Mytilus edulis: one gene and its partners. The protein of the gene in region 1 purifies or fractionates together with the protein of each later gene. This does not show direct contact. Links are inferred from orthologs where the notes say so. Each region holds a gene or a part of one and is shown on either strand. Other genes may lie near its edges.

What was found.
Region 2: the proteins of cullin-associated NEDD8-dissociated protein 1-like (region 1) and DCN1-like protein 3 purify together in Homo sapiens (affinity purification with western blotting; 3 studies listed by BioGRID, with this or other methods). This does not show direct contact. The link is inferred for Mytilus edulis from reciprocal best matches to the Homo sapiens genes CAND1 and DCUN1D3.
Region 3: the proteins of cullin-associated NEDD8-dissociated protein 1-like (region 1) and cullin-2-like purify together in Homo sapiens (affinity purification with western blotting; 7 studies listed by BioGRID and IntAct, with this or other methods). This does not show direct contact. The link is inferred for Mytilus edulis from reciprocal best matches to the Homo sapiens genes CAND1 and CUL2.

What each region holds. Positions count from the first base shown.
Region 1 is NC_092355.1:5,869,227-5,876,166, reverse strand, and holds the start of cullin-associated NEDD8-dissociated protein 1-like, read right to left. Parts: upstream 3,104-6,940; 5' UTR 2,941-3,103; coding exon 2,899-2,940; intron 1-2,898. UniProt on the Homo sapiens protein: Key assembly factor of SCF (SKP1-CUL1-F-box protein) E3 ubiquitin ligase complexes that promotes the exchange of the substrate-recognition F-box subunit in SCF complexes, thereby playing a key role in the cellular repertoire of SCF complexes.
Region 2 is NC_092352.1:76,469,351-76,476,655, forward strand, and holds the start of DCN1-like protein 3, read left to right. Parts: upstream 1-4,228; 5' UTR 4,229-4,404; intron 4,405-7,305. UniProt on the Homo sapiens protein: Contributes to the neddylation of all cullins by transferring NEDD8 from N-terminally acetylated NEDD8-conjugating E2s enzyme to different cullin C-terminal domain-RBX complexes and may play a role in the cell cycle progression by regulating the SCF ubiquitin E3 ligase complex, after UV damage.
Region 3 is NC_092345.1:87,330,244-87,338,204, forward strand, and holds the start of cullin-2-like, read right to left. Parts: upstream 3,001-7,961; 5' UTR 2,891-3,000; intron 1-2,890. Other genes in the region: sperm-associated antigen 1-like, read left to right, coding at 5,046-5,185, 7,124-7,198, 7,719-7,803.

The DNA of each region.
Region 1 (6,940 bases):
TATAGAATACTAATGATCCAGGGACTAATTATGTTTCTAAACTTATCAGAACCAACATCTGTGTTGTCTAGGATGACCAGGTCATTTCAGGTGATGACCTTGTACTGAATCTAGGATAATGACATAAAAATCACTTGTTTAAGTATCAGACCTCAATTTCCTTCCCAAAAATCACTTCTTTAAGTATCATTCTTTAAATAATCCCTACTAATTTCAACACCCCTGAACAGTGAGATTTTTATCGCGAACAGTAGAATTTTATTACATAATCTGAAAGATGAAACCTTGAACTTCACAGGAAAAATACTCCCACTGCTGGGAAAAATCTTTTAAGAAAGTATCAGTTCATTATGTAAAGCCATTATTATAGCATTTTTTCAACTAAAATAGAATTTTCAGCTAAATGATAGCATCAAAGGCAGAAGCCTTTCTACTTAAAAGAAGCAAAAAGTTTATTTTTTTTCAATTTTACTAATCAAAAGATATTATTTAAACCTATGTGTTTAAAATTTGGAAAAAAATACAAAATTCCAATTTGTGACAAAACCATGATTTTGCTACTCAAATAAGTAATTTAAAAATCACCTATTTCAGTAAGTCCCCTGACTGACAATGCGTATACCGAGAAATAGAAAGCTTTCCCCAGTAGGCAGACATGGTGTATGATTCATGTTCATTTATAAATGAATCTGCCCCTGCACCATGTCTACTTTTATTTTTTTTTAATTTTCTCTGGCTGGCCCACAACAATTTATACCAGAGAAGGAAAAAAAATCATGCCCTATTAATATCTACAATTTTTTTCCATGTATTAAATATGAAGACAAAGATTCTCACTTTTCTCAAAACCTGAAATTTTAATATTGTCAGAACCCCACTCCTCAAGATTAAATTCTGTCAAACATCAAAACACATCTACATGTATTTATTAAATAAAGAGGGTGGAAGAGTATTACCCCAAAAAAATCATAAGCCGCTGCTTAGCATCAATTTACAGTGATTCTACTACTAAAAAAAGGGGGTAGGAGTCTGTTCCCACATGTACAATGTATACCCTGTGTGTCATTTACATTGTTAGGTTCAACGAGGCCAAACAATAATACCATGCCAGATTTTTCACTGCCATTTTTTCTTTAAGATAATTAATTGGCAAGAACATATTCCTATTACGGCCCATGAAATTCGTAAGTTTATTTTTATATTTCTTATACTTTATACAGAAAATTAAAAAAACCTGTAGATTTAATTAAGTACTAATAAATATCAAAGAAGCATGCAGGTACATCAAATGATTTCATTTTGAATCTTTTTCTGCTGTCATCGATAGAAAAAAATAAAAAGTTTTCATAAAATAAAATGTTTTCCCTACCTACCCTACCTAATTTTTTTCGGGGTGAAATAGGAAACACACTATTTATTTATTTTGGCCTTATACTTCATTCAAAGGTATTCATCATCATGATCACGTGTTCATAGACCAAAAAAATCTCATTTGTCTGTAATCTTGAAAACACTGCTGATTTAAAAGTGTCCAGGGGGTAGTCTTTGAAGGCCTTGCACAATTATTCAACATCTTTCAGCGTTTAGTTTCTTAGTTGAACTAATGAGATGAAACATTGAGTTCTAATAAAAAATCAAGCGCTACATGTAACCAGAGAAAATTAATTAAGGCTTGTTTTCTCATTCCTATACAAGAGAATTTTAGGAATTGCTGAAAAAAATTACAAGTACAAGTATTATTTTTTTGAGATTATTAAGGGGAGATCACTTAAACCTTATAAGAAAATTTGGATATATAATAAATTAACCAACATAAGAAAATTATCATTTACTTCTTCAAAATAAATAAAAATAACTTGTACACACAGTACCTCTGACTTTTAAATAAAACAATGAACATGATGAAAAGGATTTACAGGACTTTTTTATACCTTGAATCAGTAAAACATGCACATGGATAGTTTTGTTCAGGATTATTGAAAAGAATTATCTCCCTTTTATAGGCTCTAATTTATTGTCAATGAAAATCAATGTTTTTTATTATTAACTGAATTATGTGATCTTCTTTTTACCTGAATCTTCAACATTGTAACACAATATGTATCTAAATTTTTTTTTTTAAATATTTGTAGGGTCCAATAAATAATCAAGGATAAAAGAGGGTATCTGATATCAATGCCCTCTACTGCAGTGCAGGCTTCAAACAGTCCTTTTTAGCTACTCTTAGCGTCAAATTGGTTAAAATTTTACCGTGATTTATATAATCATCCTTGTTGTGACTTGTCAAAGGTCTCAAATATTATGTCGAAATCGATGGGTCACTGTGAAAACTGTTAAAATATGGAAAAATAAAGGTTTGCAGGTAGGTGAAACTTACATAAATGAAGAGATAAATGAAAAATGAACAGATTGATGCCCGATTTACATAATTCCAAGGCCGTCAGTCGACATGAGAAGCGATGAAGCAGCGCATCTATTTTGGGTGGGCAAATATCCACTTTTTTATATGGGACGAGCTCTGACATCCCACGGCCCAAGCTTGTCTGGCAAAACAGCCGTTGGACCGACCGCTTGAATTTTTGACCCACACAACAATCACTTTTTCATTGCGGTGTCAGATATTTTGCTTTATGACGTTAAAATTTAACGGTAACCTGTATGAATTCCAGTAATTGCGGACAAATGCTAGCGATAAGGTGTATTAAATCCCACTATAGCAGACATTGCCATTCTCAAGAGGTCCCGTCCCGCCCATCTTTGCAAGGAAAAAGGGCGTTTACAAATTTCTTTTTTTCGTTACAACAGAAATAATCCAATTCAAAGATAGAACCTTTTGTTTTCTATCGTAAAATAAGTACGGTGCCGGCAAATATTTAGATCATGACAAATGACGTCTACCTTTTCCAAAAGATTAGCGATATGATACGATACACTCGCCATTTTTCTTGTTTCAACAGAGAGCAAAGATGATTGAATTTATCTGTCAGTTCTGTTATATTTCTTCTTTCTCTGTTTTTTGTGTGTCGGCTTCACATGCCAAAACAATTTTATTTTCGCAGAGAAATGGCAGTTTCCGCTTAGCGACCTCTATGTGACAAGGGACACAACTTTTCTTTTTTTTCTAATAGATTGCAGCCCAATCTTTAAACAAGTTGCTTTCTTTAAAAAAAGAAATGCAATCGTAAACCCAAATGCTTGTTTGGTATTAAATATTAGATAATTGTTTACTTAAGATGTATTGTTTTATATAATTATTGTGTATTATAGATGTGCACATGTTTGTCAATAGACAATAGACAATACTTTATTAATAAACCTCAGACACATAGGTGTACAAGAAGACATCATATATACACGTATACACATGTTTATACTCAATACATTCACACTAAACATAATAATGCTACATACATGAGAAAATATAGCAAATGTCAATTTACAAACTACCATAACTTTCAACTAAAAACCAACATAAATCACAAGTATCGTGTAAGAATTTTTAAAAATATTGCCAAGTTTTTGTAAAGTTCTTCATGACAAAATGTTAATGGGGTTTTGAAAATGTAATTTGAGCATTAATTTATACATAATGGAAGATAAATTGTTATTTTCCGATAACAAGTTATTCCAAAACAACACCATTTTACGTTTAATAATGGTTTCCAAAGGGAATCTTCCGAGTTCCCCATACACCATATAATTTGGTGTACTGCTTCTTAATTTCAAAATGTTTTTGCAAAATTGAAGGTGTATTTTCTCAATGCTTTCTTTATTTTCAAATCCTCATACCTCTGAAGCATATAATAAAACAGGACTAACCAATGAGTCAAAAAGTTTTAGCTGCAAATCGACGGGAATACATATATTTTTAATTTTTCGGTAAAGAGCATACAAAGACTTCTGTGCTTGAACAAGAAGTTTTTTTCGTGCTGTACAAAAGCTACCGTTGTAATTGAAAAGTACACCAAGGTAGCAGTAGGAATCAACTATTTCAATTTTTTCACCATATATCATAAAATTCTGATTTCTTTTTACTTTCCTTTTACTAAAAATCACTACTTTAGTTTTGCTTGTGTTAATCTTAAGCTTCCATTTTTTACAATATTCTTCAAAACATACAAGGGTTTTTTGTAATCCTTCTGCACTTTCAGACAATAGCGCAGTATCATCTGCGTACAGTATAATAAACCATTTAACATACATTTCTAATGATTCCAAGCACAGCTTTGAAATATTATTTATACTTTCTATATTATTTTCCACAAAATAATTTTCTAAATCATTTAGAAACAAAGAAAATAAAAAAGGTGATAGATTTTCACCTTGTTTTACTCCTGTATGAGATATAAAAAATTCGGAAAATTCATTTCCTTTCTTGACACATGTTTTTATATTTTGATACATATTATAGATCACATTAAATAGTTTACCTTTAATGTTTGATTTTTGCATTTTTTGCCACAATCCTGACCTCCATACAGTGTCAAAAGCGCTCTTAAAGTCTATAAAAGTGCAAAATAGCTTCTTACCAAATGAAAAATATATAGTAATTAAAGAATACAATACAAATATATTGTCAACAGTAGAGAATCCTCTACGAAAACCTGCTTGTGCCTTTGAAATCAGGTCTACGTGATCTGCATAATTATTTAACCTGTAATTCAACATGGCAGAAAAAGTTTTACTAAAGCATGAATTCAAAGTGATTCCTCTGTACATTTCGGGATCAGATCTTGATCCTTTATTTTTAAATATAGTAATCATGATTCCATTAGACCAACTGTCAGGAACAATTCCAGTATCTAAAATCAAATTGAATAGCTTAACATAAATTGGCATTAAATCGTCAATTGTATTCTTTATATACTCATTTAAAATTTCATCACTACCTGAAGCTTTGCCATTTTTTAAGTTTGAAACAACTTTTTTAATTTCATCTTCTGTTACTGGACTGTTTAAAAATAACTCAACATCGTCTGGTAGAGTATCAAATTCCAAATCTTGTTCGAAATCATTTTCTGTCTCAACAGTTTCATTTAGTATTTTAAAATGATCATACAATGCTTTTAGAGATATATCGTCATTGTTATCTTTTTTTTTACTATCATTTAGATTATTAAGGATTTTCCATAGAGCTTTTGTATCCTTTTTAGAAATGTTACGCAACTCATCAGCGGCACTGAGCTCTCTGTTGATAGTTTGCAAAAGATTTATTTAATGTTATTTTATGTTCTTTACTAGCTTGTCTCATTTTACTTCTGTTTTCAGCATTTTTCAAAAAACTATATCTCTTTCGAGCTTTATGAAATTTTTTTCTACTCATCGAGCATTTTCTATTAAACCAAGGTTTTGAATTTTCATGTTTGTAAAAATGTTTATGTTTATTTACTTTCCCAAACGTTTCTGCTGCCGCATCTTTAAAATTTTTGCTGATATCTAAAACTATATTGTTTATATCATTTTGAGTTGCATCATTATTTACGGACAATTTGTCCAGTTTATTCATAACAGTGGTCAAAATACCTTCGGAATCATTGTGAATTCGATCAACGTATTCAGATTTCTGTTCACTCTTCCACCTGACAAAAGTTTTATCATTTCTATTGTTGATAACAATTGAATCTGATTTACTAAATGTGGCCTGAAGTCTAAAATTTATAAAAGAATGACAATCAGAATATAACGGTATAAAGTCAGCAATTTCAAAATAAACAATCAAAGGGAAGAGCATTGATGAAATAATTAAATAATCAACAACACTTGAATCGTTACATGTTTTCTCCCCAATATCTTTATCTGATCCAACTCTTGAATTTGCAATATATAAATTCAGGGGTTAAGAAATCCACTAGACCGACGCCCGGGACTACAACATTTAGACCTCGGGCAATCAAAACTGGTAACCAAAAATGCCAGACGGACTAGTAACAAAAAATTCTTGGCGTTTCTAAAATTGAAAGGGGAAAATCCCCTCATCGCTTTTCTATCTTATCCAATCAGATTCCACTACGTCATCCGGGATTCCCAGAAATTGAACTAATGTTGTACAAGTTTTAAAATAGAACAAATAACTCTGGGTGGATCTTGTACTTTCAATATCGATGTGTCAGTACAGGAGGTGGTATTGTACATTGCTTATGCAACCTGATTTTACCTCCTTCTGATTAATTTATGCAATATAAATGTGAATCCCTTTTGACAGCAGAAACCTGACTTTTGTCAGAAATAAATTTGAAACATTTGCTGCTAATTCTTTTACACAAACGTGATGATGCTATTGTATCTGATAAAACCCCTCCAATCCTTTTACATACCCACGTATAGCAGTGATCAAGACTTGTATCATCCCCGGATTTGGTCAACTCATTATATCAGAATTTTCAGTGAATATTCAATTATCGATTAATTGAATATATATATGCTAATGGAATATTTTTTGCTGATATAAGTTTTAAATATCCAATTTGCAAAAATCTACTGTACAATGCCGTGAATGGATAAAAATTGTTAAGTTTATAGAATTCATCTTTATTGCAGCAAACTCTGAATTTGTAAGGCATACTAGGGCTAGCAGGTCAGTTTTGTTGGGCTAGTAGTTCTTCCAACAGGGCTAGTAAAATATTGCAACCAATTAGCCCTGGGCTAGTGAGCTATAACAAAATTTCTTAACCCCTGAAATTATTTTTTCTGCACAACTCTAACAGTCTATGACCATACTTATTAGGTCTACATGTACACTGAGACACTCTTTGTAAGGTGATTTTGTTTCGAGTCAGATTCTCATAATCATACAAATAATCTAATATATCAGCATCACAATCTAAATCAAACATACTAACAATTGACTCATCAGGTATAATATAATCGGGTAAAGACCCAGTTTTTGAGTTAAAATCGCCAACTAGGGCAATATAACAATTTTCAGTGTTTGTAAGGATAT
Region 2 (7,305 bases), on another chromosome or scaffold:
AGTGATGCCGCTCACGATATCCCCGGCAGAGCCAAGCATGGACATACGGAGAAAAGACTCTATGTGAAACAGAAGCAACGCTTTGTATTGTTGTGTATACTTATATCGAAAGCTAGTTTAAAATAGCAGTGACTTTTAAATTCTTTTGCAAAAAAAACTTACGAAAAGTCACATGACATGTTTAATTTACGCTTTGTCGATTACACCCCCTAAATTTGGTTAAACAGGCTTTTTTTCTTCTCAGGCAGTTAATATATAGTGTTACTTCGTTCAATAACAGGCGCTATCAATCAATTTTTAGTATTAGAGTGAAACACATATATATATTTATTTCGATCTAAACCATGACAAACTTGACCAAAACCATGACGAATTTCTAGATTCTTAACCGAACCATGTCAATCGCTTAACCAAACCATAGCAATTCCGATATCTTGCTTATTCTGCGTTAATTTCGTGAAACAACAATTCCAATATAGATCGTTTGACCTCCAATACAGATTCAAGCATTTTATTTGCTTTTTATCTGCTCGTGTGAATAGAACTGAGGCAATAGTTTAGGGAAGTAACATAAATTAATCATGTCAAACTTATCCAAACTATGACAAAATAACTGTACTAAACGCTCCTCGATATGACGACCTTACTACCCGTGACTTAGCTTCCTCTTATATCTAGATACAGAAAAATAACATTCTATTTATCCAGCACTCTGCAAGAAATGCACTCTATTGCTGGTGCTAGTAAAATAGCCATTTCTAGAGTTATAGACTATTTTACCGACTTGAATTAATTTAGGATATTTTAATCAGGGATGGCAAAACAGCCATGCACTGTCATATTTATTTTATTTGCTCTTCAAAAACGGCAATTTTTATATACAGTTAAACATGTACTTAAAGACATTTTGTAAAAACGTTTCATTTTTTGACCTAGAGAAGATGTGCGCGCAAGTTGCAAACTGGAGTGGAGATCAGACTTGTAAAAGCAATGATTGTGCTAATTTAGAACTATTGGATTTGAATTAGTTTTAACATACTGTGATACAATACTATTATTTTATGATCTATATTATATCAGAGACATAAACGAGGGGCCTGATTTGGGGGGGGGGGGGTCTCATATCACGATTCACGAGTTGATGTTTTTGTCAATCACGATTCACAGAAACTAAATTTCCATGATCACGGATCACGAAAATATATACGAGATAATATCTGAAAAAGTCTAATTTTTGGCAATAAGAAAAAATCAAAAAAAAAGTCTTTAGACCCGGTATTATAATAGCATAAACCGAAGAGCACACATTGGGGATCTAGGAACTGTTGTCTGTAATTCAAACAATTGTTAAATGTGGTAACAATTGCAATTTCAAAAATGGTACAAAATAATTCCAGTTCTTTCCTGTTTCCAAAATGAATCAATTTTAAAAAGTTTCTAATGAGAATAAGGAATAATTTTAAGACACTATTTGTGGTTTACTAGTATATCCTGTAATAGTTTAGTAAATGCCAATTATTGATTTTAACATTTGTAATACAAAAGATTAAGAAATATACTAAAATATAGTCAGAGATGTCGGTAACATGAAAGAATTTTGAGTAACAGGACAACGGTAACAGGACAGAAAGGATTTTTTTCTCAAAAAAGAAAAATACATTATTTCAGATTGGACACCATTGGAAGATAACAGCAAACAATAGCATTTATCCTTTGAAACTGTATTTGACAGATGAAAAATCTGCCTAGGTAATGAAAAATTCTAAAATAAATTCCTTTCTGTTACTATCTACTATACTATAGAATTGCACAATGTTCTCTGCTGTTATCAAAAGCAAAAAAACTATTTTTTTTCATTCAATATATTGTATATTACTATGAAATTTATTTAATATGGTGATGATAACTTATATTAAATGAAATGGTTGACATATAGTAGATTAATATTTTGATTCATCAGTGATATTGTCTTGAACATCCTTCCTGTTACTGATTATGGTTATGCTGTTTCTTTTTATTAGGTAACATGACAGAATGTAACAGAAAGGAATTACGCAGTCCTTTTTGTTCATTTACTCGAATTGTGTAGAAGTTTACTTTCATCTACATATCAATTTGATAAGATACTAGTATAAAACACATGTACTGTTATAGTGCTGACAATGAAATATTCTCAGAAGGTACACAAAAAGGCTGTAACAGGAGAGAACAACAAAATTATTTTTCTCCAATTCTTATCTTTGGGGAGTTCAGTTTTTTTAAACTGGCTGCTATTCACCTAAACAAATGGATTCATACATTCAGGAAATGATGCTCTTCACATTACATTACAAGAAATAAATTTTTGGTCTTTCAAACGTGTCCACAGGTGGAAAACCCCCAGCGGTAACAGGAGGGAAAGTACCCCTGGGGACAACATTCAAAAGACCCTTAAAAATGCAAAATTTTCTTACATGCTTTAGTTATAACAAAATAAGACCAGTAATGGAGAAGTATATTATATAATCTATCAGATTTGTGAAAATTGGAAAGCTGCTTACTTTTAAATTAAGATATTCTTTGAATGATTCAATTTTCAGAAAATAACAGGGGACAACATGATTTTTTTTGGGGGGAGGGGGGTTGACCATTTATATTATAATATTTTATTAGATGAAATATTAAAAAGAATGTTTAATTGGTTGCAGTTGGTGCATTATTTACTCGAGTTAATCAGTACTGAAACTTAAAATTTTCCAAAAAGATGCCTGAATAAAAAAATAATTGCTGGTGAAAGGCGGGACATGGAAATTATAGACTTTTTCAGATATTGTCTCATATAAAAAAAAATATCTGTTGAAAAACGGATCACGATAGCGAAAATGCGCCGATCACAAACAACGAAAATAACCAAAATGTTAAGGCAAGATATTCTTTGGGTTCATCGGACAATAAATGTCTTTTCATACCACGTCCGAGAACAAATTTTATATGAAGAAACATTTCAATATTCCGGTACAGTTAACGTTCTTTGGCAGTGGCGGATCCAGAAATTTTCATAAGTGGGGGCCCACTGACTGACCTAAGAGGGGGCCCGCTCCAGTCACACTTCAGTGATGCCCTATATAAGCAACCAAATTTTTTTCCCAAAAAGGGAGGGCCCAGGCCCCCTGGGCCCCCCCTCTAAATCCGCCTCTGTTTGGAATAGTATTCCTGTTTAAATAAAAAAGATAGAAACGATAGAACAGTTAAAAAAAAAAAGTTTTTGTAATTTCTTGTTTCTAAACTAAAAATGTAATTATCAAATGAAATTTACCTAATATATAAAAGTCCATAAAGGTATCTTGTACATCTGACATTAACAACATATGTTCATGAACCTATTCCGTATGTTTTTCGCCTTTTGTTTTGCATAAAAATACTGTATGTAAATGTATATTATATTATTGCATATTTTGAATTGTTCAAAGGGCATCAGTGGAGATTAATATTGTACTAAGTAACTGATTTTACATCACGGGGGGGGGGGGGGGGGGGGGTAACTTCCTATTATTGGGTATACGGGGATGTGCCAAAAATATGGGTCATATAATTTTGCAAGATTTTATATAAAAATGACCCACCTTCTTAATGACATCCTATATTAAAATGCATTTACGTTTGATAACTGTATATTGATTTAGGATCATTTGGGGTATCAGTGTCATCTACATATCATATATATAACGATAACATATATGTGCACCTAACGATGTCAATTCATATATAAAAACTTAAGGGTAGCTGGTATATTTATGAATTATGAGTGATGATGAGTTAGTGCTTATATATAAGCATGGGTCATATTTTGAATATTGTATATAAGTATAGGTCATTCTTTCTTAAATATTTATATAACTATAGGTACTGAATTTCAGTGAATGTTATATTAAAATGGGTAGGTTTTTTGAGGCAAAAATGGTACACCCCTACCAAAAAAATATCGAAGTTACCCCCGTGTTTTACATGTATACATACAAACCGTGAGTATTTTTATGCAAAACAAAAGGCGACTGTTGAAAACGTAATGTCTCTGGTTCATTAATACTTTTTCAATTTCATCTGAACTTTTAAATTAGTTTTATTAAGTTATAGTAGATAGCAATTCCGATTTGAACTAGCCTACTTGATTCTAATTTGTAATATCTATCTGTCACAAAAATTAAATTTCCCCGCGGTAAAAACTAAGGAGATATGCACATATTCTAATGACGTACATCGCACATCGACAGGAAGTCCACCATTTGTTATTCTTTCTCTCTGACAATCAGCATGAAATCGACAGATTCTGGCAAAAGGAACACGGATATATATATTTGTTGTATGCAGGGATAAAGAAAATACCCAAGTGATGTCTTTCAAGACGACAAACTGCCAGAAATTTCGGTGATTCACCAAATTATACAATTCTGAAGCACAAATGCATTACCTTGTTTTTGTTTTATCGACCTATTCGCTTTGCATGTTATCGATCTCACAGTTTCTATTAAGTTGTCATAATCACGCTTTCTAACTATATAAATAATTAATGACATTAAAACTTCTTTAATCCTTCCAACCTCTGTGTTATTTAAGAAAACGGATCGAAATAAAGGTTGGGTACGTACCCATAGACATAGACAAAGAAATTAAGAATTTAAGACAAAGAACATCTCATTGGTGTAGTCCAAATAATTATGACGTCTTGAAAGGCTATTATAATTTTTTTCTTTGACGCCTTACATCGATGTAAGGCGTCAAAAAAAAAAATTATAATAGCCTTTCAAGACGTCATAATTATTTGGACTACTCATTGGTGATGATGTTGGTCTTTTATTGGACCTGTATCTTAATAAAAAAAAAAGGGGAGGGATAAATAAATAAACTTAGAAAACAGAGAAATTTATTCCTAAACATTCTAAATGAGACATGTTAGAAAAATAGATCACCTATTTTGTTTCACATGTAATTTACTGAAGTGGGTCTCGTAGGGTTCTTAGTGTGACACAGGATTGGCTGATTTTTTAAGAATGATTCGTGAAAGTCTAATAAATAAGCGTGAAATCTGGAAACAAAGCCGGGTGGTACACAGAAAATTATATGCACTATTATGGCAACGAAAAGCAGGTTAGAATTCTGACAAAACTGTAAGCAGGATCCAGGATCAGATCCCCTCCCCCTCCAATGAGTCCCCCACTGAATACAATGTGAAGCCTGTCTCAACCTTTGGAGTCCCACTAGTCAGATAGATCCCTGTCATGTCTGTACCAAACATGGATGTCCCACTACATGCACTAGACAGATAATCCCCTGTCATATTTGACCAAACTATGAAGTCCCAAGAGTCAGATGGTCCCCTGTCATGCCTGTATCAAACTTTGCAGTCCCACTATTTGAATAGTCCCCTGTCATGTCTGTACCAAACATTGATGTTTCACTAGTCAGATAGTTCCCTGTTCATGTCTAGATCTGTATCAAACTTTGAAGTCTTATAATTAGTCCGATAGTCCCCTGTCCTGGCTGTACCAAACATTGATATCTCACTAGTCTAGTCAGATGGACCCCTGTCCTGTACCAAACATAAATGTGTCGGATAGTCATGATAGTCCCCTGTCATGTCTGTACCAAACTATGAACATGATGAAGTCCCACTTACAAGTCAGATAGTTCCCCAAATTAGTCGTTTTTCTTATACGACTGCACATATTTTTTGTATAATGCTACAGTGTATGTCCATGAAATTGTACAACAAGCTTCAATACCACAAAAGGAAGGTTGGGATTGATTTCTGGGTTAAGGGCCAAAAACAAACACTTTTCTAGTTTCCAGACAATAACTTGTATTTAAGTGTATGGAACTCTCTAAATTTTTACTACAAAGTTCCATACCACATAGGGAAGGCTGGGATTGAGTTTGGGGGTAATTGCTCCAAGAAGGAGGGGGTTCAAAAAGTTTTGGGGGTTCCAGTTTCTCAAAGGGGTTCATATTTTTGTTTTTCAGAATTTTTTAAATTTCAAATTTTTGAAAAGTTCTGTGAAAAAATCTTCAATTGCAAAGTATTATCCTATAGATTTTTATACGACAGCAAACATTTTTGTGGTTGTATATTGGTATCACGTTGTCATCGTCGTCAGCGTTGTCCGAAGAGGGATGGTTTCCGGAAAATAACTTATTTTAACACAATGTTTATAACCACAAAAGGAAGCTTGGGATTGATTTTTGGGGTTATGGTCCCTAACGTTTAGGAATTAGGGGCCTAAAACAAGCATTTATCTAGTGTCAGTACAAAAAGTTGTGTATAAGTATTTCAATTGTTTTGAAATTGTACCACAATATTTATGACATATTTATATCATAAGTGAAGGTTAGGATATATATATTTTGTGAGTTATGGGGCAGTTTAGGAATAAAGGGCCAACAAGGGACCAAAAACAAGCATTTTTGTAGTTTCAAGACAATAAATTGGAGTTATCGTTCTTTGTCCAGAATGGTTGTTAAATCACCTATGCGCTAAAACCAATGCTTTATGAAATCTTCTTTGAAAATTGGAGTTATCTTTCTTTGTCCAGAATAGAGGTTGAATCAACTTAAATCAATACAATATACAATGCAATATTCACTTAACTACCAACTGATAAATTGAAGCAATCTTTACCATTCAGTGATTACAAGCACTTTGATTATACCATTTTAGGGTTATGCCCCTTTAAAAATGGAAAAATTGAAGAATTTTTAGTTTCTGTTCTCTCAACTTAAGTTTGTCTCCACTTAATTTAATGAAATCTGTATATATAATGCTTATTACCTCTAAACCCAGTTTAAGTTCAATTTTTGGCAGCTTCACTTTACAGTTCTTGAGTTATGTCCCTTTATAACGTTATATGCTAGCGGGGGCATCATCTGTGTCCCTTTGAACACATTCTTCATTTATTTTTTTAGAAGTTACTAATACTATTAATTAATATTAATTTTAACCGTGACTAATTGACATTTTTATATTTTGATATTTATGATGTATTTAAAGTCATAATAAATGAGTGACTGGTGAAAAATAATGTTATTCCAATTCTTGAACCAATCCATACAAACATCATAAACTTAGTCTTCTGTGCACGATTTTATCATTTTTTTTGCATAAATTTCATACAATCATCAAATTTTTTTTCAATCAGTCAATGTTGTTGTGAAAATATGGCAGGTAATTAAAGTTCTTGTTTTGAAGCCGAAGTTTGTCACGATTTTATCATTTTTTTCGCATAAATTTTGTATAATCATCAAATTTTTTTTCAATCGGTCAGTGTTGTTGTG
Region 3 (7,961 bases), on another chromosome or scaffold:
AAATGTTGGGACCAAAACTCCCAAAATCAATACCAACCTTCCTTTTGTGGTCATAAACCTTGTGTTAAAATTTCATAGATTTCCATTCACTTTTACTAAAGTTAGAGTGCGAAAACTAAAAGTATTCGGACGACGACGACGCCAACGTGATAGCAATATACGACGAAAAAATTTTCAAATTTTGCGGTCGTATAAAAACTTAACAGACTTCATCAAGAATGTTCAATACTATTTTTGAAAGTACTGTTTATTGTTCGTGTTGTTATTTCAACACTATAACTTTAGGCAATGCATACTCAACAAGTGAAACTGCGTGCTACTGCTCACGGATGATACCCCCGCCGCAAGTGGATAATATTAATAGTGTAAAAATATGCAAGTGTTCGGTAAACAGGAAGTTGTTGAGTGATGAATCTGAAAACGCATCACACGGTATAGCTGACTTATATTGACCCTTAAACCAAATTTCAGAAATCCTGGTAGTGTAGTTCCTGAGAAAAATGTGACGAAAAATTTTCAACTTGGCTATCAGGTGTAAAAATGATACAAGTGTTCGGTAAACAGGAAGTTGCCGAGTGATGAATCTGAAAATGCATCACACGGTATAGCTGACTTATATCAAGCCTGAAACCAAATTTCAGAAATCCTGGTAGTGTAGTTCCTGAGAAAAATGTGACAAAAAATATTCATGGGACGGACGGACTGACGGAAGGACAGACAGAGGTAAAACAGTATACCCCCCCTTTTTTTCAAAGCGGGGGTATAATTTATATATTATACCCATTATACAACAAGACAAGAAGGTAAAATATGACAAACAGATATTATGGTCTACCAGTATAGGTTGAACAGGTACTAGAGCCAACAGGAACAAGAGTTACATGAAACAGGGTGTAGGGATCTCGATTCAATATTCTATAATTATATTCCCCACTTAGAGCAAAATATGTAAGGGTTCTGCAGAACCCAGTGCCTCACCTACTTTATGAAGCTAATAAGTAATATAGGAAATTTAACTGCAGATTGTATGTAATGTTAACAGGAAGAAAGACCATATATAAGTAACATACCGAAAAACAGGAAATATATTTTTACAAAATTTCCTTCTAGATACTAGCTTTTGATAATTAACAAGCTTCTGTCCAAGTTTGGCAGAAATCCAGGATAGTTTAAGAAACTGAAATTTAAAGTGATTAAAATTCCAAAAACTTTAATCATAGAGTGAATGTAATGTTAACTGGCAGAAAACTAAGTCCATTTATAAGTAAAATACGAATAAACAGAATTTTTTTTTTACAAAATTTAATCTGATTGAATGCAACCAATTACAACTGAGACCAATGAATAGCATTACCTTGTGGAATCAATAATTCTATCTTAATCTTAACCTTTGGATATGGAAGATGATAAATGGTGAAAAGCTTGACTTTGGTTTAAAAACCATGGTTCTAAAATACCTTCAACATGGGGGTGATAAATTTCCATTGGGACTTTTTGTTTTACAACACAGCATAAATTTACCAGTAATCCCCCTTAGAGTCCTTCCCCTCAGAGATTTGGGGGGAGGGGGGACAACCTAATCAAAAAAAATCTTCCAGATTCAGAAGGGTCTGTCTTCACACTGCCTCACAACCCATAACTTAACACACTATAACTTTAGGCAATCCCTGAAAAGGTATTATATAGTATATACAGTATAATGTGATCAACGTAAAGCAGTGTGCGGTTGTGTTCAGATGTGAAAAGAACCACATGTACCAGACTCGAAGTTCCCAAAAAAGAATTTGATTTCCATATTAAAAGTATAACTATATATTGATAAAAACACAATATTTACATACAATACACAGAATCTCAATTTATTCAATGATCTACCCTAGTTGATCTGGAGTCATTTGGGGAAAAATGTGTCATCAAATTTTTCTGGGGAAAAGCGCTATGGACACGTAAAAATATCCTCATCTCATGGCCAAAGCCCAATACATGTATGAATGCATTTTGACATTGCTGTTGTTGTTATTGGTTTTGGTAGGCGGCTTACTTATATAGTAATTGCGCCTTAAATTCATATAACATAAATATTATGTACATTGTATATACTTTCAGTCCTTAATTTTATTTTTAGTATTACGTTTTGGCGAGTAATTATATGAAACTTTGACGAACATGGTTGACTGAGTTACTAAGAAATATATATATATATGTTGAGAGACAAAAAAAACACACATAACAGAAGGTACATGTAATAGGAAAATGAAAGAAAAGCAAATGACAGTCCCTAATGAAATGTACATTATTAATTGATAGGTATCATAAAATTGTTTAGAAATTTTGACGTCACAACTTCTATTGAAAAAGCATGCATAATATGAATTCTTAAGATGTACAAAAACATATGATCTGACCATGCATTAGAACTATCTTGAACTATCTATCTTCCTTTTTTTTTAGGCAGTGTCTGCACGTACCCGCATGCGGAACTTCAACAAATAGTCAAAGTGCCTTTGTAGGCTACGTGTACCTGCATCTGGTTTTAAAATCAAATGGCATCGGATCAGGAATACAACCTGAAATATAAACCACACTGCCTTTTTTTTTTTACCAGTTTAGGATTAGTATCCTCAAAGTTACAGAGTAAAAACCTCTTGTGACAAACATGACCTTTATTTAAATAATTTGGGAACTGGGATGGGGTCCATATGTTCACCAAAATGAGCAATACAATCAGTTTGTTGATTCTTATTTGTGGAGATCATTATTGACATAATTTAGCTGGCAGAATAAAAATTCCGCTAAATTAATCAGGATACTATGAAAATATTAGAACAAATTATATTTACAAATACTGTTGGACGATAAGAATTTTAGGTTTAAGATAACTATATAACACACTGTTCAACCTGTGATTTGTTTTACGAGTCGGATAGCAGTTATTGGTGAAGTTTTGTCAACTTTTTATTTCACTGATTGCGATGAACAGGAGGTCGCCATTTTCTGTCACGTGGGAAAACTATTTGCATATATTTGTTAAAAAAATAAAGAAAAGAATTTTTTAAACTTAGTGTATACACTCATTTCAAACAATAAATTATAGACCCGGAATACATTAACACTCAAAAATTATATATAAGTTGCTTTATACAAAATCAAATTGTCTTTGCACAAATATCAGTTAAATTGAACTCTAAATATTCATAGGTTCGTTTTGTTTTGAAAGATCTGATTCCGAAAGATATATTGAAAGGCTTCCTTAGCAGCTTTAGAACTTGCTGGATACAGTTCTCAACCCTTAGTGCCCTTTTAGAATTTACTTTCAGGTAAAAACATGTAGACTCCTTAACAAAAAAATGCCAACAATATCTGGTAGAGTCTAACATATAAAGCTTAAAAATGAAATATAAGTTTCCTTTAGACTATAAAGAATGATTTTTTTTTGCTATTTCACTTTCAGTATAATTTTGACTGTGTTAATGACAATGATTTCTAGACGTTTCTGTCATACAAACAGTTGGTCCACAGGTAATTCGGGCCACAATATCACTTCGGCCTGAGTTGTTTGGGCCACAATTCCAGTTCGGCTAGTGTCGTTTCAGCCTCAGTTGTTTCGGTCACACTTGGATTTTGTTAACATATATTCTATAGACGTATTTACACTTGTATGCAAATTTGTCCGCCATTACATAAAATCACACAGGTTCCCGTAAACTTTGACATCATAATTCAATACATTTGACGTCACAGCTAAAAATTGATTGTTGCTTGACGTCAAAAGGTTATTAGGAGGTGATATAAGGTCATTCGGAGGCAAAATACAGCTTAAGACCAAAAGTGTAAATACGTTTATTCTGTTCTATATGAGGGTTTGGATGGTGTTAAATGATTAAAGAATAATGCCCTTAAAAAATGAAGATTAGAGAATAATCAGCAAAAAAAATGAAGATAAGAGAAAAAAGGGGTTAATTTTTTGAAGATTAGAGAAAAAAGGGGTTAATTTTTTGAAGATAGAGAAAAAAGGGGTGAAAATTAAATGTTTACAGAATAACAGACCCCCCATCCAGACCCTCCTATATATGTTTGCGTTAATGCACCTTATCACTATTTATCTGCCATTACTAGACATCACAAAAGTTACCGTAAAATTTTGACCTTATAATAGAAAATATCTGATGCGACAATGGAAAAGTGATTGTTGTACATGTACATGTATGATGTCAAAAGTTCAAGCAGAACAGATTTTCAAACAGCATCTGCTATAAGGTGCATTGTTTTGACAGAAGTTTTTTTTTAAGCCATTTCAAAGTTTAGTTTTTGAGGTTAAGTCTCCACTCATATACTTCAGCAATTGGTCAATTATATTTGGTTTATGGATATATATAGCCGGAGTAATTGAAAGGTACATGTCAATACAAATGTAGCTGTCTGGCAGGTTTCATCTTATATGTACCATGACCTTATTTTCATGCTTTTGTGTACACCATTATTATTTGGCAGTGTCTGCCCAGCTCTACATGAGGGGACGAGTAGTCAAATTGGCATTCGTAGGCTACAAGTCCCTGCATCCAAAATTTAAATGCCATCTGATTGGGAAAAGAAATGTGAAATATACATGGAAATTAAATGTATCATAATTAGTGAATAAATTAATCAGAAGTCCTATAAATAATTATATATATATAGTAAGTGAACAGTTTTTCTCAGTTAATAAATATTCTTGATATATACAAATGTATTAATATATATATGTGAGGAAGACATTTAAAACTTATAAAAAAATTGGAACAATTTGTTCAAAACTGCCAGTCAAATAACAGCATACATTGTATGATATAAAATATTTGGTTGTTTGTATAAAAGAAACTCTGAATCAATTAAAAAGATGACATGTAAACCAAAAACTTTAAGAAGAATTAAAGTTTAGTAGGCAAAAAATTCAAAACAAATTCGACAGGAAAAGGGTATCGACATGAAATATCACCAAGCATTAATATTTGAAGGTATTGACAGTGAAATATCACCAAGAATTTATATATTTAGGTTTTGTCAGCATGTCAACAGTGAGTGATAATGTGTTGTTCCAGTCAGAGACCACAAGGAAGTATGACATACCTCTCACTCATCTAGATTATCCATACATAGAGAAATGTACAGACACCAAAGAACTTGAGAGAATACTTAGAATCCTTAGGTAATTCTTTAACTTATTTAGATTTTACTTTTTCAAAAAAATATAAAAGATCATTAAAGGGATCATTTACTATATGATTGTGACTCCTCACAAAATTTTGAAGGTACAAGAAACTGTTATGTATAAGCTAAAATATCCACATACAAAAACAAATTATTTTTTTTAGTCACAAACCAAAAATTGAATTACTATTTAGAAAATAACTATTGTATTTTAAGCTTGGCCTTCGAAAAAAACATAGATTTTACTGTCTCACATTGAGTTTACTTAGCAACACATAATGGAGCTAGGTAAAAGGATATTTGCAACAGTAAAATACTTGATATTTTTATTAAAATTTCATGTTTTAATTAGGCAGATTAAAATAATTGAAGAATTTGAAAAGAAATTAGTACAACCTCCTCTTTTACCAAAAATTACCCCACCGTGACAGCAAATAAAATTGAGAATGGACATGGGGAGTATGTCAAAGAGACAACAACCCCACCATAGAAAAAAACAACAGCAGAAGGTCACCTTTAGGTCTTCAATATAGCGAGAAATTCCCGCACCCGGGGGCGTCCTTCAGCTGGCCCCTAAACAAATATATACTAGTTCAGTGATAATGAACGCCATACTAATTTCCAAATTGTACACAAGAAACTAAAATTAAAATAATACACGACTAACAAAGGCCAGAGGCTCCTATCTTGGGACAGGCGCAAAAATGCGGCGGGGTTAAACATGTTTATGAGATCTCAACCCTCCCCCTATACCTCTAGCCAATGTAGAAAAGTAAACGCATAACAATACGTACATTTAAAATTCAGTTCAAGAGAAGTCAGAGTCTGATGTCAGAAGATGTAACCAAAGAAAATAAACAAAATGACAATAATACATAAATAACAACAGACTACTAGCAGTTAACTGACATGCCAGCTCCAGTCTTCAATTAAACCGATTGAAAGATTATGATTTCATCATATGAATATCAGGCACAATCCTTCCCGTTAGGGGTTTAGTATTATACTATCATAACATATATGAGAAGAACATAACCCGTGTCAGGCCAATAACTGGTTTTTGAATAAATGTGTTTAGTTCCGATGCAAAGACCCTATAAGTGAATCAATATTAACACCAAAATATGCAATCTTTAATGACCTGACAACAGTATCGTAACTATATCCCTTCTTAATAAGTCTATTTAAAGGTTTTATTAGTTTCTGAGGTGAATACTGACATTTTTGTGCTTTATAAAGAATATTTCCATAAAAAATTGGATGTGAAATACCTGAACTATAAGAAGTCTGCATGTTGAGCTATATTTACGAATGATGTCCTTATACCGATGATAAAATTTAGTAAATGTTTTGACTAGTTTTTAATATCGAAAACCCTGGTGTAATAATTTTTCAGTAATACATAAATCTCTCTCGTTAAAATCTATAACATTGTTACATATATGAGCGAATTGTACAAGTTGAGATATATAAACACCGTAAGATGGTGACAAGGGAACGTCACCATCTAAAAATGGATAATTAACGATAGGAAATGAAAAATCATCTCTTTTATCATAAATTTTAGTATTAAGCTTTCCGTTAGTGATATAGATATTAAGATCGAGGAAAGGGCAGTGGTCATTGTTAGTATTAGCTTTATTTAAAGTAAGTTCAACAGGATAAAATGTTAACATTGTATAATCAACATTTTCTTTCATTTCTTGCTTGAAGTACTATTTAATTTTTTAGCACAATTCACACTGGTACCCTTTCTGACAATTTGAAATTGATAATAAAGAATAGCAGATTATACATGACCAAATTCAGTATTCAGTATGCAAATAAGTAAACATTTGTATACCGGTTCAAGATTTTGATCAAACTACATTTTCCTGTTCCATATCTCTATATATGATAGATTCACCAAATTTTCTTTTTCATGTGTCTTCAACAGATCAGGTGATGAAGGATTTTATCCAGATTTAGAGACATTTTGTGAAGAAAGGATTGAGAAATTAAATCCCAAAAGGTATGTTTATATCATTATAAAATAACACTCATTTTAATTTTTTTATCTACTGTAATTTTGATATTGAAAATAGTAAGCTTCAGAATGATTATTGATATCACCTACATATTTTTGCATTCACTAAGTAATTGAAACAATTATGTTCTTCAACATGTTTAACAGTATGTAGTACGTATAAATATGTAGTATTTTACAAATTTATCAGAATGAAAAAAATTCTGGCTAATAACTCATTTTGATTTAAATCTGATATTGTTTTACTTCTTTTCAGTGAGATGATAAATATTTCTTATAATATGGATTTTATTTTCTACGATGTCAACAACCTAAGCATACAGCATCAATTTCAGAAGCTAATGACTTTCAGAATAAACCTTAACTTTAAATACAGTTTTAAAGTTGTACAAATGTGGGTTAATTTATATCAAAACAGTAACAGTAGCTATGTTAAAGTGTTAGAAACTGATTTTTTACACTTTGCAATCATATCAAATATGAATATTTTGTTCTCTATCTTTAGTCGTGTATTGAGGAAAGAAGTGCCACTTGGCAGACCTGGAGATCTTGCTAAAGATGAATGGAAGAAAATAGATACAGATTTGAAGGTGAATTGTCTGGATGCTGTCTCATTTACATATACACCACATCTCTTTTTATTCATAAACGTAAACGGGAAATCAATTGCATTCAAGAAAAGGTTAACATCACTGCATTGTTTAGGTCTGATGATATGTGAAGGGTTTCAAAAGAAAAACAAATATGT